Linked DNA regions of Caenorhabditis elegans. The protein of the gene in region 1 interacts with the protein of each later gene in a pairwise test. Each region holds a gene or a part of one and is shown on either strand. Other genes may lie near its edges.

What was found. Proteins that work in one complex are often made in the same cells at the same time.
Region 2: the proteins of sand-1 (region 1) and ccz-1 interact in a two-hybrid assay, tested with the Caenorhabditis elegans proteins (2 studies listed by BioGRID).

What each region holds. Positions count from the first base shown.
Region 1 is NC_003282.8:5,362,946-5,370,624, forward strand, and holds sand-1 (Vacuolar fusion protein MON1 homolog), read left to right. Parts: upstream 1-3,921; 5' UTR 3,922-3,922; coding exon 3,923-4,113; intron 4,114-4,171; coding exon 4,172-4,326; intron 4,327-4,642; coding exon 4,643-4,995; intron 4,996-5,045; coding exon 5,046-5,452; intron 5,453-5,503; coding exon 5,504-5,777; 3' UTR 5,778-5,920; downstream 5,921-7,679. Other genes in the region: hda-6 (histone deacetylase), read right to left, coding at 1-540, 591-865, 909-1,196, 1,241-1,276; F41H10.4 (GRIP domain-containing protein), read left to right, coding at 1,615-1,788, 1,834-1,959, 2,007-2,154, 2,207-3,048, 3,097-3,210, 3,263-3,425, 3,475-3,635; F41H10.3 (RNA-directed RNA polymerase), read left to right, coding at 6,861-7,046, 7,106-7,159, 7,206-7,286, 7,336-7,485, 7,539-7,679.
Region 2 is NC_003283.11:13,674,923-13,681,385, forward strand, and holds the start of ccz-1 (Vacuolar fusion protein CCZ1 homolog), read left to right. Parts: upstream 1-3,952; 5' UTR 3,953-3,953; coding exon 3,954-4,038; intron 4,039-4,084; coding exon 4,085-4,194; intron 4,195-4,243; coding exon 4,244-4,554; intron 4,555-4,596; coding exon 4,597-5,162; intron 5,163-5,325; exon of another isoform or gene 5,326-5,475; intron 5,476-5,861; coding exon 5,862-5,985; intron 5,986-6,042; coding exon 6,043-6,310; intron 6,311-6,358; coding exon 6,359-6,463. Other genes in the region: F58G11.4 (MFS domain-containing protein), read left to right, coding at 1-259, 303-472, 849-993; tag-65 (CID domain-containing protein), read right to left, coding at 1,193-1,339, 1,389-1,500, 1,550-2,032, 2,082-2,206, 2,256-2,530, 2,580-2,932, 2,980-3,131, 3,182-3,322 and 2 more.

The DNA of each region.
Region 1 (7,679 bases):
AATCTTAGTGAAGTCCGAGACGGAAAATAGTCGAAGCAGTTCCAATGATGTCGAAGAACGGAAACAAGGCTAACACATGAATCAACCGTACTTTCTTTCGGTGCTTCATTCAATTCAATTGAAAATGGAGCATATCCGAGCAGTACTCTCACACATCTTTGAACAGCGACTGCAGAGATTTGATGATTGTAACCTCCTTCCAATACGACCAACATTCTTCCCTGTGCAAGTGATTTCAGATGATATAAAATATGTGAATAACCATCAGGTGTAAGACACATTCCACCTAAAGGATCACCGAGAAGTGCGTCGAATCCAGCAGAGATTATCACAAAATGTGGATCAAACTGAGTTGCAAGAGGAAGTAGAACATGGAAAATAATCGATAGATAATCAGAATCAGTGCATCCAGTTTCATTTAAAGCCAGATTTGCGTTGTATCCCAATCCCTTTCCTGATCCAATATGATCAAAATCTGATTCGGGAAGATGAGGCCAAAAGAGACCATGTTCGTGGCGATGAATTGAGAAATATAGTACTCTGAAATTCATTGAAGAAAATTATTATTTCACTATAAAATCCTTTTTAACCTTTTATCATCATAAAAAATCCGCTGAGTTCCGTGTCCGTGGTGTACATCCAAATCGACAATCAAAATCCGTTCGGCTCCACTGAAAAATGCTTCTTCGGCGGCTTGGGCGACATTATTGAATAAGCAGAAACCACAAGGCGATACAGAATCTGCATGATGTCCGGGTGGCCTGACGACTGCAAAACCATTCGAAGCTTCATTAGCCATGATTCTATTCGTCAAATCTCGAACACACGCGACACCATCTTTGGCAACTTTCATCGAGTTCTGAAACTTTATTCTCAACGTTTTGTGCTTCTTTTTACCCAATTAATACCTCTGTCATAAACACGGAATCATATTTTTCGCACTGTGAATTAATATCTTCTTGTGTTTTCTTTTCAGATTCCATTAAATCTTTAACCATGCTTTTATCGTGGGTTACTTCCAAGTCAGCATCGTCGATCTCCAGAAAATTTGTTAGTACAGTGCATTTTTCGAGTATTTTCGTCTTTGTTAATGCCTCTTTAATCTTCAAAATTCGATCCGAAGACTCCGGATGTGTTGGGCATACTGTATTCTCATGTTCATTTTGAGTTTGATTGAATCCGATGAGTGTTGGACCCTGTAAATAGATTATATGATTGTACGAACATATACTTTTCTTACCGTTGATCGATTTTTCTGCCTATCTTCGAAAAGCATGGAAAACTAAACGATAAATGTTTGAATAACCGCTAAAAGTCTAAAAAATCCTGTGGAAAAAATGTCCTCGTGATGGCCGTGGACTAGAATATTCAACTCAAGGCTACGGCCATCTGTGCACTTTACCGTCAAGTCGCGTGTGTTCTGACCTGTTTTGCATTTTGTTTATGTTTTTTTGTTTTTGTGTTATGCATCAATAAGAGTAATTGGACAAAAACATGAAATATCAAGTTTTCTTTGATTTTTCCAACCGCCTTGTGTAGATTTATAGTTCGTTTTTTAAACGTTTGCTCCTAAACACCCAATTTATGTATTTTACGTTGCAAACTTTTTGCAGAATGGCGACAGAGTCGGGTGGCTTGTCGAAGGAGGAATTCCTTCTTGTTCAAGAGCAACTTTTGCAGCTGAAAAATGAAAATTACGAGTTACGAGAGGAGATTAAAAAGAAGAACGCAGCAGCTTCCCAACACCAAAACTCTCCGAAAAATGAAGCATTGCAATTTGCTAGCAAGGTGAGGAAAAGTTTATTTTTATTATAATTAATTTAAATCTTTCAGTTAATCAACAGAGCATCTTCTTCGAAAAAAGATGAAGCAGAAATTGAGTCGCTTCGGCGGAAACTAGAGACCCAAGAGCAAGAGTTTCGCCTTCAACAATCTACCCTTTTTGAAGAGCTCAAGACAGTAAACTTTACATTTAAAATTCAAGCTTTTCAATGTCCAAATTACAGATATCCACACAAAATGAGACATTAAAGAATCAAATGTCGTCTTATTCTGATCATCCTCTGGAAAAAGAAGCAGAAGAAAGGCAAACAGTGGAACAATTAAAAGAAGCTATTAAAAATTTAACAGACGAAAAAGTTTTGCTATGTCAAGGTAATTTTATTCCAACTTTGTTCAATACAATTAATTGTATAAAAGGTTACAGAAACAATTCCTGCTATAAGCAACAAAGTTACAAGTCTCAGTGAAGAACTTGAAAACTGTCAGACATTGAACGTCGAGCTTGAAGATCGTTTACTCTCAATAACTTCAGAATCCGAAGCTATTCTTAAAATTAAGGAGAAGGTTGTCGAGGAAAATTTGCGAATTAGGAAAGAAATTGAAGAATTACGCAGAGAAAATGAAGGGATTGCTGAAAAAATGAAGGAGAGTAACAATGCAGTGATGGATGAAAATAAAAAGCTTTCTGATGATAATCTGGAATATAGAAAGACAATGTTGAGTCAGAAATCTGAAATTGACAGTTTAAAAGCTGAGAATTTTAAACTCGTCTCTGAAAATCAACTAAATCATGACGTTTCTAAAAACCTTGCTGCTCTACAATCAGAAAAACTAAAGCTGACTGAAATATCTCAACAAGAAATATCAGGTTTGAAAAAAAAGATCGAAGTTTTAAAATCGGAAAATCATCGTCTTTCGTCTCAAATCCAACAGAACACTAATGAAGCTGCAAAGAACCACGAAAAACTTTTAGAAGACCGAGTACTTCTTCTCGAAACTCGTTATCAATTGGAAGTTGATGATCTTAAAAAGAGTTTTGAGTCGGATAAAGAATGTTTCCTTTTGAAAATGACGAGTTTAGAGGAGAAGCTGAAATCAGCGGAAGAAGACAAGAAGCTCGCAGTGAAAAAAGCAATGTCTCTTGTGAAAGAGCTACAAAAATCATTAAAAGAAGAGAGAAAACGAGCTGATTCTTATGAGAGAAAAAGCGAAGAAAGAGCTGGATGGCATGTGGTTCCACCAGAAAATGATAGGCAAAGTAGTCATGTAAGCACATTTAATCAAGGACTAACATATATTCATCAAATTTTTCAGACTTTCGACGGAAACGAAAGTGTTTCATCAATGTCGGCAATCGAATCGGAGAACGTTGAACTTATCACTCGTCTAGCCACGTTACAAAAGATTCATTCGGAAAATGCAGATTCCGTAGGATCTTCTTTGCAGAATTCTTTGAAATATTGGAATAATCATCTTTCAGATTCTCCAACTCGAATCAGAAAATAGTCGCTTGCGACGGGAAGTGACGGAAAAAGGAGAATTAATTGAGAATTTGATCCGCGAAAAACCTCTTGGCACCGGATTTCAACAACAGAATAATCTGGGTTCTTCTTCTTCTTCTTCTGTTCAACCGAAACTTGAAGGTTTAGCTTCTAAAATTTTCATTTTTTTAAATACTGAAAATTATTCCAGCGTCATTCCGAAAACTGCTCAATACACTTGGCCAAGATTCCCGAGATTCAGATGTCCGTGAAATGAACAAAAAGCTGCAAAGAATGCTTGAAGAGACACTTTCTAAAAATATAATTCTTCAGAGAGACTTGCAAACTATTATGGAGAGAACTGGCTTGTAGATTTATATCTTTTTTTAAAATTTCTATTGAATCCGTGTGTGCATATGTAGATATTGTTACTGAAACCATTGCATTTTTTTTTCTGTATTTTTTGCTGAAATTTCAATTGATCTAATTTTCCAATTAAGCATTTTGTATATTCTTTGTGCATAATAATTTTTTAATTTTCAGTTTCCCATATTATTTTTTTATTTTCTCTCTGTCTGGTTCTCATTTTTTGAATCCACAGCAATACTTAATTCTTGAAAAAACATGAAATTTTCAGAAAAATCTCGCCAATTTTCAGAATGGAAGTAGAAGTACCTGGTGGATCAGAAGCTGCCGATACTGGAAGTGAAGCGAGTTATAAAGTGTCACAAGTAGAGATTGAAGATGTTGAAGAGAATTTGAAAAATGCTGATGTGATATTTGAACATCTTGAGCAACTTCCATTTCAGGTGTTTATTCTGAGCGAATTTGGAAAACCGATTTTTGTAAAGTGAGAATTTGCAAATATTATCCATTCAAACACACAAAGCCTTCTTTAAAAATTACAGCAACGATCGAAATGAGGGTGAAATCGTCAGTTTGGTGGCTCTAATTTGTGCATTTGTGAGCCGATGCCAATCTTGGGGTGATAGTTTGATGACGATGACGTCACAGGATAATCACATTCAATTTTTACACAAATCACCGCTTATTTTCTGCGTTGGTAAGAATTTTATGCAATGGAAACGCGCTCCGCCCCCGAAGCATGGGTCTCGTTAGGAATTTACCGGCTAAATCAAGAATTCAAATGTTTTCAGTTCGTTTCGCCGATTTGGCAAATTGCCAAGATTTTTTCGTCTTTTATGCTTTCTGTTACTGTTGGAACGTAAATTTTTCGAAGAGCATAACGTTTGGGTTTACAGTTTTGCCGCCGAACCTAACGAGACCAATTGTTCGGAGGCGGAACTATTTCAATTCGCTGTTTAGCGCGTTTTCGCGTTGATTTCTCTCTTTTTTGATAGAACTTTCAACGATTTCAGTCTCAAAATACCCGGAGCAACTGGATCAACAACTGGAAGTCCTTTTTGAGCAGATTTGTTCGATTCTTTCCAAAAGTCAATTGGAAAATGTATACAAGAAAAAGGGTGACAATTACGATCTTCGAAAACTTCTTCGTGGAACCGATCGTTTAATTGATTCATCGATTTCTTCGTGGAGAGCCTCCCCGATCAATCTTGTCGATTCTTCGATTTCGGCAATTCCAATGAATCCATCAGATCGGGAATTTCTATCAACAACGATGGCTTCATGTCTTGGAGCAGCGAAATTAGATGGTGCTCTTTTCGGAATAATGATTGCGAGAAGGCAAATCGCAGCGATGGTTAGATTTAAGGTGGGATGATAAAAAATAGAGATTAATTTAATTTTTGATTTATGTTTCAGAAATATATGATTCATCCTCGTGATTTGAACATTGTCATCAACCTTGTCTCTGATAATACTCTACAAACAGACTCCCAGAATTGGGTTCCAATCTGTCTGCCACGGTTCAATGACACAGGATTTTTCTACGCCTACATATCGTATCCATGGTGCAATAAAGAGCAAGATATTCCTGTGTGCATTGTGCTTCTTTCGGTGAAACGAGATCATTTCGATGGGCTCAAGGAAGTTCGACAACAAATTGTGACGAAGTTGGAAAATAATCAAAAGTTCTTTGTTAACTTTGCACAGGCGATGAAGACGCCGAATCTTTATCAAATATCACAAATCGGATCGAATTCCGAATCGCTTTGGTCGTTTTTGTATTTAAATCATTCTTCAAAGCAAGTCTGTATGTCAGCCTCAAAGTGAGTTAGCCTCTAAATGTTCCATTAATTATATGCGCTCTATTATTTCAGAATTCCCCTAATAACACGTGACGAACGATGGATTGCTCGTTCAGAAATGCGTCGATCTTCATCATTATCATCTCTCCATCCACATCTTCGAACTCTTTTCGTACGTGGCACCAAACATTGTCTTTTTGTTTGGGTCACTGATCTCTTTTCACTTTACTGCATATTCGGACCATTTGTCACCGCAACAATCGCATTCCAAGTCGTCGAAAAGCTTCTGAAATCGCTGAAATCTCACGAACAACGATATTTTATCATTAATTCAACATCCTTTTAATTTTCAACTGTTTGTAAAAATTGTGATACTTAAAACGTTTACGTGTTTTCTAACCACAGATTTTAATTTGCCAATATATTTTTACTGCCCTTCAAATTGCCAAAAAAGATCAAGTAGAAATTAATAAAGCGAACCTCTCATTCATTACTGTTTACAGCAAGTGTAATACGTCTTAAATGACGTCCTATGATCTAATGTACTTATTAAACAAAGTTATTGGAAAGAATAGGGAAAAGTATCGATTAAAACGTACACATTTCGAATTGATGTTGGGGGAAGCGGAGTGTGTTTGAAGGAGTCTCGCTCGTCTCTATATCTCTGCACTCTCCGCTTCTCACACACTCTTTCGCCGTCATTTCGGCCGTGTCCCCCACTTCGTCGGTTTATTCTACCCGCCTTCTCCTTCACCATCGCTTTTTCCTCGTCCACCAACACGCGCTCTTTGAATTTCTAGCTGATGGCTATGGCAACCAGAAACCTGTGACATTTTAGTTTTGCATGAAAACTTTTTGATTTTCAAACGAAATTTGTTTTCAATGAAGAGAAACGCATAGTATTTTGAAAACTTCCATTTTTCAACGCCTGCCCATTTTTTTAAAATTTGGTTCAACTTTAAAATAGTTTAAAGTTTTTTTTTAAATTTAAGCTCGAGCTTTTTCTCCTCAATTTGTCGCAATTTTTTAATTGTAAAAACAATTTTTTTTTGTAATTAGCTAAACTTATTCCTATAAAAATCCTGAAACGCCGCTTGCACTTTCACTATACGAATAACTCTTTATATTATGTTTTTGATGGGTATTAGAACAATTTAAAAGCACCCTTTCACACATAACAAAAGATTTCTGGGCACGAAAAAAAACAAATTAGCATGGATTTCTATCTGAAAACGCCTGAAAATCGATTTTTTCTGCTATTAGTCCAATGGAGCGCACTTCCTGACCCCATCATTTTTTGTATTTTTTCGAATTTCCCATCGTTTTTAGGCCAAATTTTTTGTATTAATAATCTTAATTTCTAGTTTTCTTTGCTTTTATCTTTTCTTCAAGTCATTTCAATCCTCATATCACTATTTTCAGCTCAAAAATGTCGTACCGCGTGTTTTCACGCGTCGATCCCCATGTGCCATCGACATCCACAGCTCCACAGCGTCGTTTTCAAGAAAACTTGCAAAAATTCAAGCGATTTTTTCCGCCAAACGCACCACCAACACTCTGGGAAGTTTGCTCCTCGAAACAACGCAGCAAATCATTGAAAAACACGTTTCAAACGGTAAGTTGATCAGAAAAAAAAACTGAAGGAACGAAAATCAATCATGTCGAAGCTTGCAGGAAGTACGTGCACTACGAGGACTTAATTTTACAGTATTGCTGAATCCGTACAAAGTAAGTTTTAAGAAATTCCACAAAAGAACCATAAATTTTTGTTCAGAACTATCTCAATGATCTCACAAATCTATCCGGTTTCACCTTCGATGATCTTTGTCAAGCACTTCGATTCTTTGCATTTTATGTGAGTTTTGAGTTTTAAAAAAAATCAGACGAATATTGAAATGTTTCAGAGAAAACAGCCAGTTTTGAAGTCAAATATGGAAGATGCTAACGAATTATTTCGATTAATTGCAAGTTGCATCATTTATTCAAATGATAACTGGAGGGCGTCCATCGATAAATCAACACTAGTGGATACGCTGTCAATGAACATTTTGGAGGTAAAGAAAATGCAAAATATTCCTTCAGAATACAATAAATTCATAATTTTCAGAAGCAGAGGCTTAAGAATCTGAAACAAGAATCATCTGAACAAAAAGATCCAATATACCCACCACTATTCCAAGATGATGAGCTACCTTCTGTTCCAATACAAATTGGCAGATTGAAAGACAGAGAAAAAGTACCAATTCCT
Region 2 (6,463 bases), on another chromosome or scaffold:
AATGTCCATTATTTTCTTCATCGCCGGAGTCTTCGCACTATCTCTCTACAGTACTTTTGTCTTCACGGATGTTGCTCGAAAATTGAATATTGGAAAAGTGAATACAATTAGTTTGATAATATTTATCATATATGTTCTAACAACATATCAATGGCCGTATATTCCAACGAATGTAGTTGTGAATACAGATGGAACTCACGGAGGATGTGATTATTCATTATATTCATGGTGTTTAGGACTTCCAAAAACATCTCAAGCGGTGCGATAATTCTCAGGGTTACTGTAATTTGACGATTTTACAGTTCTTCTACATTGGATATATTATAGCTTTTGGTGGTTGTGTCCCATTTATAAATGTTGGAGATGCCACGCTTTATTCAAAACTATTCAATCCAGTTGGCCAAGCATTGGAGCAAAGTCTCTATGACGTTTCCCAAGTTTTTGCGAGAGTTGTAGCTCCTGTTCTTTGCACGTAAGCTTGAACTTCGAAGGAAATGCTCTGCTAAAAAATATTTCACTTGGTAACTCGACACGACAAAATTTTGTTAACTAAAAAATGTGTGCCTTTAAAAAGTACTGTAATTTCAAACTTTGAATGCTGCGCATAATTTATCTATAAAATATGCTTATTCTCTAAAAAACTCAAATAAAACGATACAAATCGTATCAAATCTGTGAGAAAAACTTTGAAGAATCTATGAAAATTCCGCATCTTTGAAATTACAGTATTCTTTAAAGGCGCACGCTTTTTTGCAATCAGCAAAATTTGTCGTATCGAGACCGGGAACAGTAGTTTTATGCGGAAGAATAGCAAACTCCGCGCCTTGGTAGTATTTGTTTTGTTTCAGAGCAATATACGCATCATTTGGTCCTCAAAGAGTTTGGGAGCTTTTATTCGCCCAGTTAGTTGTCGTCACTGCTCTCTGGATAGCTTTTGCCCATCGAATGATCCCACTTCGCCCCAAGCCACGTCCAGTCTTCTACCTTGAATAATTCAATCTCATGCTTCAACTCACAAAAGATTGTGAATGTCTGTAAAAAAATAGACGGCTACGTCGCCAATCATCGCTTCGCATTAGCTTTAATAATGTGTATGTTTCGGAGATCATTTTAATGATGATAAAATAAACAAATTAATGATTTCTCAACAATTATTGCATAACAAAAAAAATAAATTTAAAACGTAGAGATTCTATTTTCGGTGAAAACTTCCTCGGTCGTGGTATGTTCCAGATCGTTGTTTTCTGAACTGCTCATATGGATCAAGTGAACGACCAAGGCCCATAAATTGCTCATTTCTATTACGAACTTCTCCACCAGACACAGGATCAACGATTCCCTGAAAAATTGGAAAATTATTTCTGAAAAATAAATATTTTGATTCTTACACTTTCATTTGCTCCCAATCCTTTTCCTCCCCAACCCATTTTAGCCATAAGTTGGGCACCTTTGTTATCGTACGAGAGTGGTTCCTGGGCAGATTTGAATCCAAACGAAGGTCTGGAAATATAATTTTTAATATCAACATTTTTTTATTAATCAAACAAACCTTTCACTGAAACCTCCTCCGCCGTATCCTCGCTGTCCAATGTTACTGTCTCTTCCTCTTTCCGGAGACGATTTTCTGCTAGAAGAAGAGGATCTTGACGAAGAACCCGAAGACCTAGATGAATTCGATGAAGATCGTTGTCGTCTTCTCGGGCTTGGACTTCGTGACGGCGACCTCGATCTCTTGTGGTCTCTAGGAGGGGATCGTGAATTGGAACGCCTCGCCTCGGAATCTTCTCTTAAATTTTCGGGTGGCTCCTGTGAAGCATAGTATGCGTCGACGCATTTACGAATTTTTTCAATTTGATCTTCTTCTTTCAATTTTCTTGTTTTGTCAAATCGTTCTCGATCAGTTGCAGATGGTCGATTTGTGATAAATTCTTCGACAGAACATTTTTGTTTTTCTTCGAATGTCTTTTTAATACGTGCCTTTTCTTCCAAAAACTCAAGAGGGTATTTCAAGTTGGTCGGATCTTCGGTGATTCTGTAAATAATTAATTTAATAAAAAATTGAATTGATTTTGAGAACGTACGCTCCATCGGCCAAAGCAATATCCATTTCGACACCTTTGTGGAACATATTCTTAGCAGCAAGTAGTCTTGATGACGGTGGAACTGATGCTGGCATTTCAAGTTCTTCTGGGTCCAATGGTTCATACTTGAATCAAATAAAATATAAATTGACAAAATATCGGATCATAACATACCATGACACTATTCATCGAAACTAGTGGAGTCATAATTCCAGCCGGTAAAGCCATATACGATTTCTGTGGCTTCAAATTTTCCTCATCAAACGGCATTCCATCAATATCTTCTCCATCGTCCTGCTGGTCATTTTGATTCCATGTGTTCGAAACAGAAGCGTGTGGTCGTTCAGCTGAATGTTTTGGAGCTTGATCAAATCTTGATCTTCTCATGTTTGACAGTGGAGCATTAGGATGATGCGATGCAGGTCCGGATGATGGCCCATGACGAAACTCTGTAAGAACCAATTTTTAAAATTTTCAGACTAAATTTCTATTTCTCACCATCAATTTTTCTCTCAACTTCGTCAATTTGTCTTTGAATATGCTGGGAATATGTGACATGCTGTTGTTCATATCCATCAAACGTTGCCATCAGATTACTTCGAATCGACTCCCGAATTGTTCCATAAGATGATTTTTCAATTTCTCTGTCAGTGCTAACAATTTGAACTGTATTCCTGAGTTGTTTGAATACAGAATCAGCGAAATATTGTCGACCTTCCCATTCTCCTAAAAGCTTTCCTTCTAACTTGTTGCTCAACTCACTCGACGAAGAAAGTTCTATACAATATGCATACATTTTTGGAACGTATCGAGCCAGCATTTTCATTTGATTTTCTTCTTTTTTTCTTTGACTGAAATTTGGTATTTAACGACGTTTTGTTCAGTATTCTAAGCTTACCAATGAAATGCCCAATCATTGATTAAATATAGAATATGAAGTCGTAGATATTCTCCAGATGCTTCATCTTTAACTTTATTTAACAGAAAAGACAGTATTATTTCTCTCAGCTGATCGCTTGTGCAGTATTCGAAAATCCACTTTTTCGCTTGCTGAAGAAAATTTTTCGTCAAATTTCTTTATTTTTTGAAAAATTACTTACTGAAATCAAATCTTTAGAGCATTTCGGTGTAGCCATTGCATCTAAATAGGAATTGAGATCTTCCACGTTCAGATTATTCTGACTCAACATCTTCTCAATTTTCATTGTTTCAGAAGTTCGAATAGCAGATTTAAGATGTGCCTGGATAAACGTGGATACAAGATTGTATGTTTGCAAAACACACCATTAGGAGCTCGTCCATTCCATTTCTGTGAGCGTTCAAATTCTGCTCACTGTCGATAATCTTTTGACGTAACTCATCGATTTTCTTGCGCCATTCGACAATCTCTGGTGGATCCATCAGAGAAGGAATCGACTGCCGTTCTGAAAAGTCAAAAATTAATGATTTACAATCTTGAAACGTTTAAAAGATTCAAACCTGGTGGAGGGAAGTCCCTAGGGAGTGGAATATCGCCACTGCGCCATGATTGACCGTGCTGAGAGCTACTGCCACCTCTCCAGCTAGAATTTTCATTCATGTCGTCTAAAAGTTATATGTTTATATGATCAAATATTTTATCTCTTTCTTGTGACAAATAAACAATATATATATTCTGCATGGTTTTGCAGAAAATTTGCGGAGGATTTAAAAAATAAATCGAGACATGCGCCAGTGATCAAGTTTTGCGTCAGTGAACAACGTTTGCGTCAATCATTTATGTCTGCTACCCTCCTAGTCTCACACACTCTTTTTCTCTCTTTTATTTTATTTTATTTTTAATTTTAATTTTAACACTGCACGGTACAAAACATATATTTTGCTTTTTTCAGAATGGAGTCGATTGCAAATCCATTGTATTTCTTCTCCAACTTGTCATTAAACCCGCCATCCTGCTCTAATGTGGTCAGATTCATTGGTAATTGAATTTTAATTAAAAAAACGAAATAATTATGTTTTTACAGATGTCCTTGAATTCTTTTTCGTGGCGCATCCATTATCAGGACGAAAAGAAGGCGAAGAACATAATCGTGTGATGTATTTTCATCCGAAAGGCGAGCAATTAGAGAGACAGGTTTTCAATATCGTAATACTTTTTATTCTAATAACTGTATTAATTTCAGACCGAAATAACAGGATTCGCAGAAGCCGTTGTTAACTTTACAGAAAATTTCTTGAGCACCTCCCGTCGGGAAATCAGTGAAAGAATTAGTGAAAATGAAGATGGTTTCGATTTCCGAACTGTGACGACGCAGAGAACAGAGCACGTTTATATTCGTACAGAAGACGATCAATTTATTCTTGGAGTATCAATTTCTAAACAATTATCATTGGTTTCTGATTATCCTCTATTTCAACCAGCGATTAGGAGTATACTTTCCGATGCCTACAAAATGTTTCGAATGTTTTTTGGAACTTTTTCTTCTTTTATCAAGTAAGTTAAAGTCTAGTTTATAAAAATAAAAATATCTTTCAGAAATGTTCCCGACGACATTCCAAAATTCAAAGAACGCCTTGATTTTTTCTTCTCCAAGTACATCCCACTACTGAAAGTTCACAAAATGCCACTACTTGATCATCTTGGAGGCGTCGAATTTCTACGAATGTCTGGTCCTCTCTACTTGAACGTTGTTTCTTTACTTTCCGAACTTCGTGAAGAATTCCAAGTTATCGAGAAAATAATGTTCTTGTATCAAGATAAACTTCTCTACTATCAACTTTCGAAACGCGATCTTCCATCACTATTTCATTATTTGACACATAATTTGCTTCCAACAACATTGGCTCCAGAACTTGAACATTCTGGAAGAAATGCTTCAAAAGGAAGATATCTACGAGGACCAACAGATTTAACAACAGATGCTCCGTTGCTCGGTGATGAGTCACTTTCTGTAGTTCATTTGCATTCCGATCAAGGAACTGAATTTCAAGAAGAACTCATCGGATACCAGATGATCGTTTATCGATGTCTAAATGCAACAGTTTGCATGTTTGTCAGAAATTGTCCAGCAAATGGTGGATTAGAAATCAGAAGGGATTCTGGTGAGTTTTTAAAAATAGTTTTTCGAAACGAAACGTTCTTATTACGTTTTGAGAATAAATTGAAAATAAAAAAGCGATTTTCAACTCTTGCTAATCTGCTAATTTGAATTGCCGCTCTTTTGTATCTAAAATCCACCCGTAGAACCGTGCCGCGCCTCGTTTTTTTGCAATTGTACCGCAAATTTGTCTTTTTGTGTTGTTTTTTTATTCTTAATATAGAAAAATGGCATAAATGATCAAATATATTTTTTTGTATATCAAAAGAATTAAAAAATCGTATCGAACCCGAAAAAAGTACATGTTCCTGAAATTCTAAACACAAGGAAACGTTTTTAAAAATGATTTCTAAATGCTTTTGAAATAGGAAAAATATTTTTGAACATTTTTGAATTTTTCTTCATTAAAAATTAGTCAAGAAACACAAAAAAGAAGAATTCGTGTCGAAATTGAAAAAAAAAGTCGAAGTGCGGCACGGTTCTATGGGCGGAGTTTAGAGACAAAAGCGTGGTAATTCAAATAAAGGGATTAGCAAAAGTTGAATTTTCATCAAAATCAGATTTTTTCCAAATTTGGTGGATTTTTCTCATCTTTCTTATGTGATATTTCGGCACATTAAACTACTTTTAAGGTAATATCTACATTTTCCGAACTCCACCTTTAAACAAAATAAATCTTTTTCCGACTTATTTTCTTTTCCAGAATCATCTCAATCATCTCGCGCCACTCCTTCACAGAATGGTGTTGTCAGTCGTCGACTTCTTCGAAATATTGATCAGTTTTTGGAAACCGAACTTTCACAAGTAGCGAGTAAAATTGGTGACGAGTAAGTTCAAACTTACATTATATCACAATAAATTCCATTAAATTCCATTAATTTCAGAATCGGCGACGAAAAGTTCCCGGAAGCTCCAGATTTCCATTACATTTACTTCAATCCATCATCGTTATCCATGACCTCAAGCCTTTCAACATCTCCGAAGCTTCCCGTTGCCGCTTCTGGATCTAATTCAACATTAAAAGTACCACTGCCACCAGTTGATGTTAATCGTTTAGTATGTGATACAATGAGCAATTTTGTGTCGGAAACTGAAGAATTTGGTGAATGTTTCGTCAAATCTTCAAGTGATTGGTGGATTGTTATCAAAAAGGTAACAACATTCTTGGCAAAAACAAAATTCAATGTTTTTATTTTTCAGGTTAATTCTCGCCTCCTTGTCTTAATCATTCCTCCATCCAACTACACATCATCCCTTGCCGATGTCCAATCAAAAACTGCAACAATTGTTCGATCCCATTTCGAA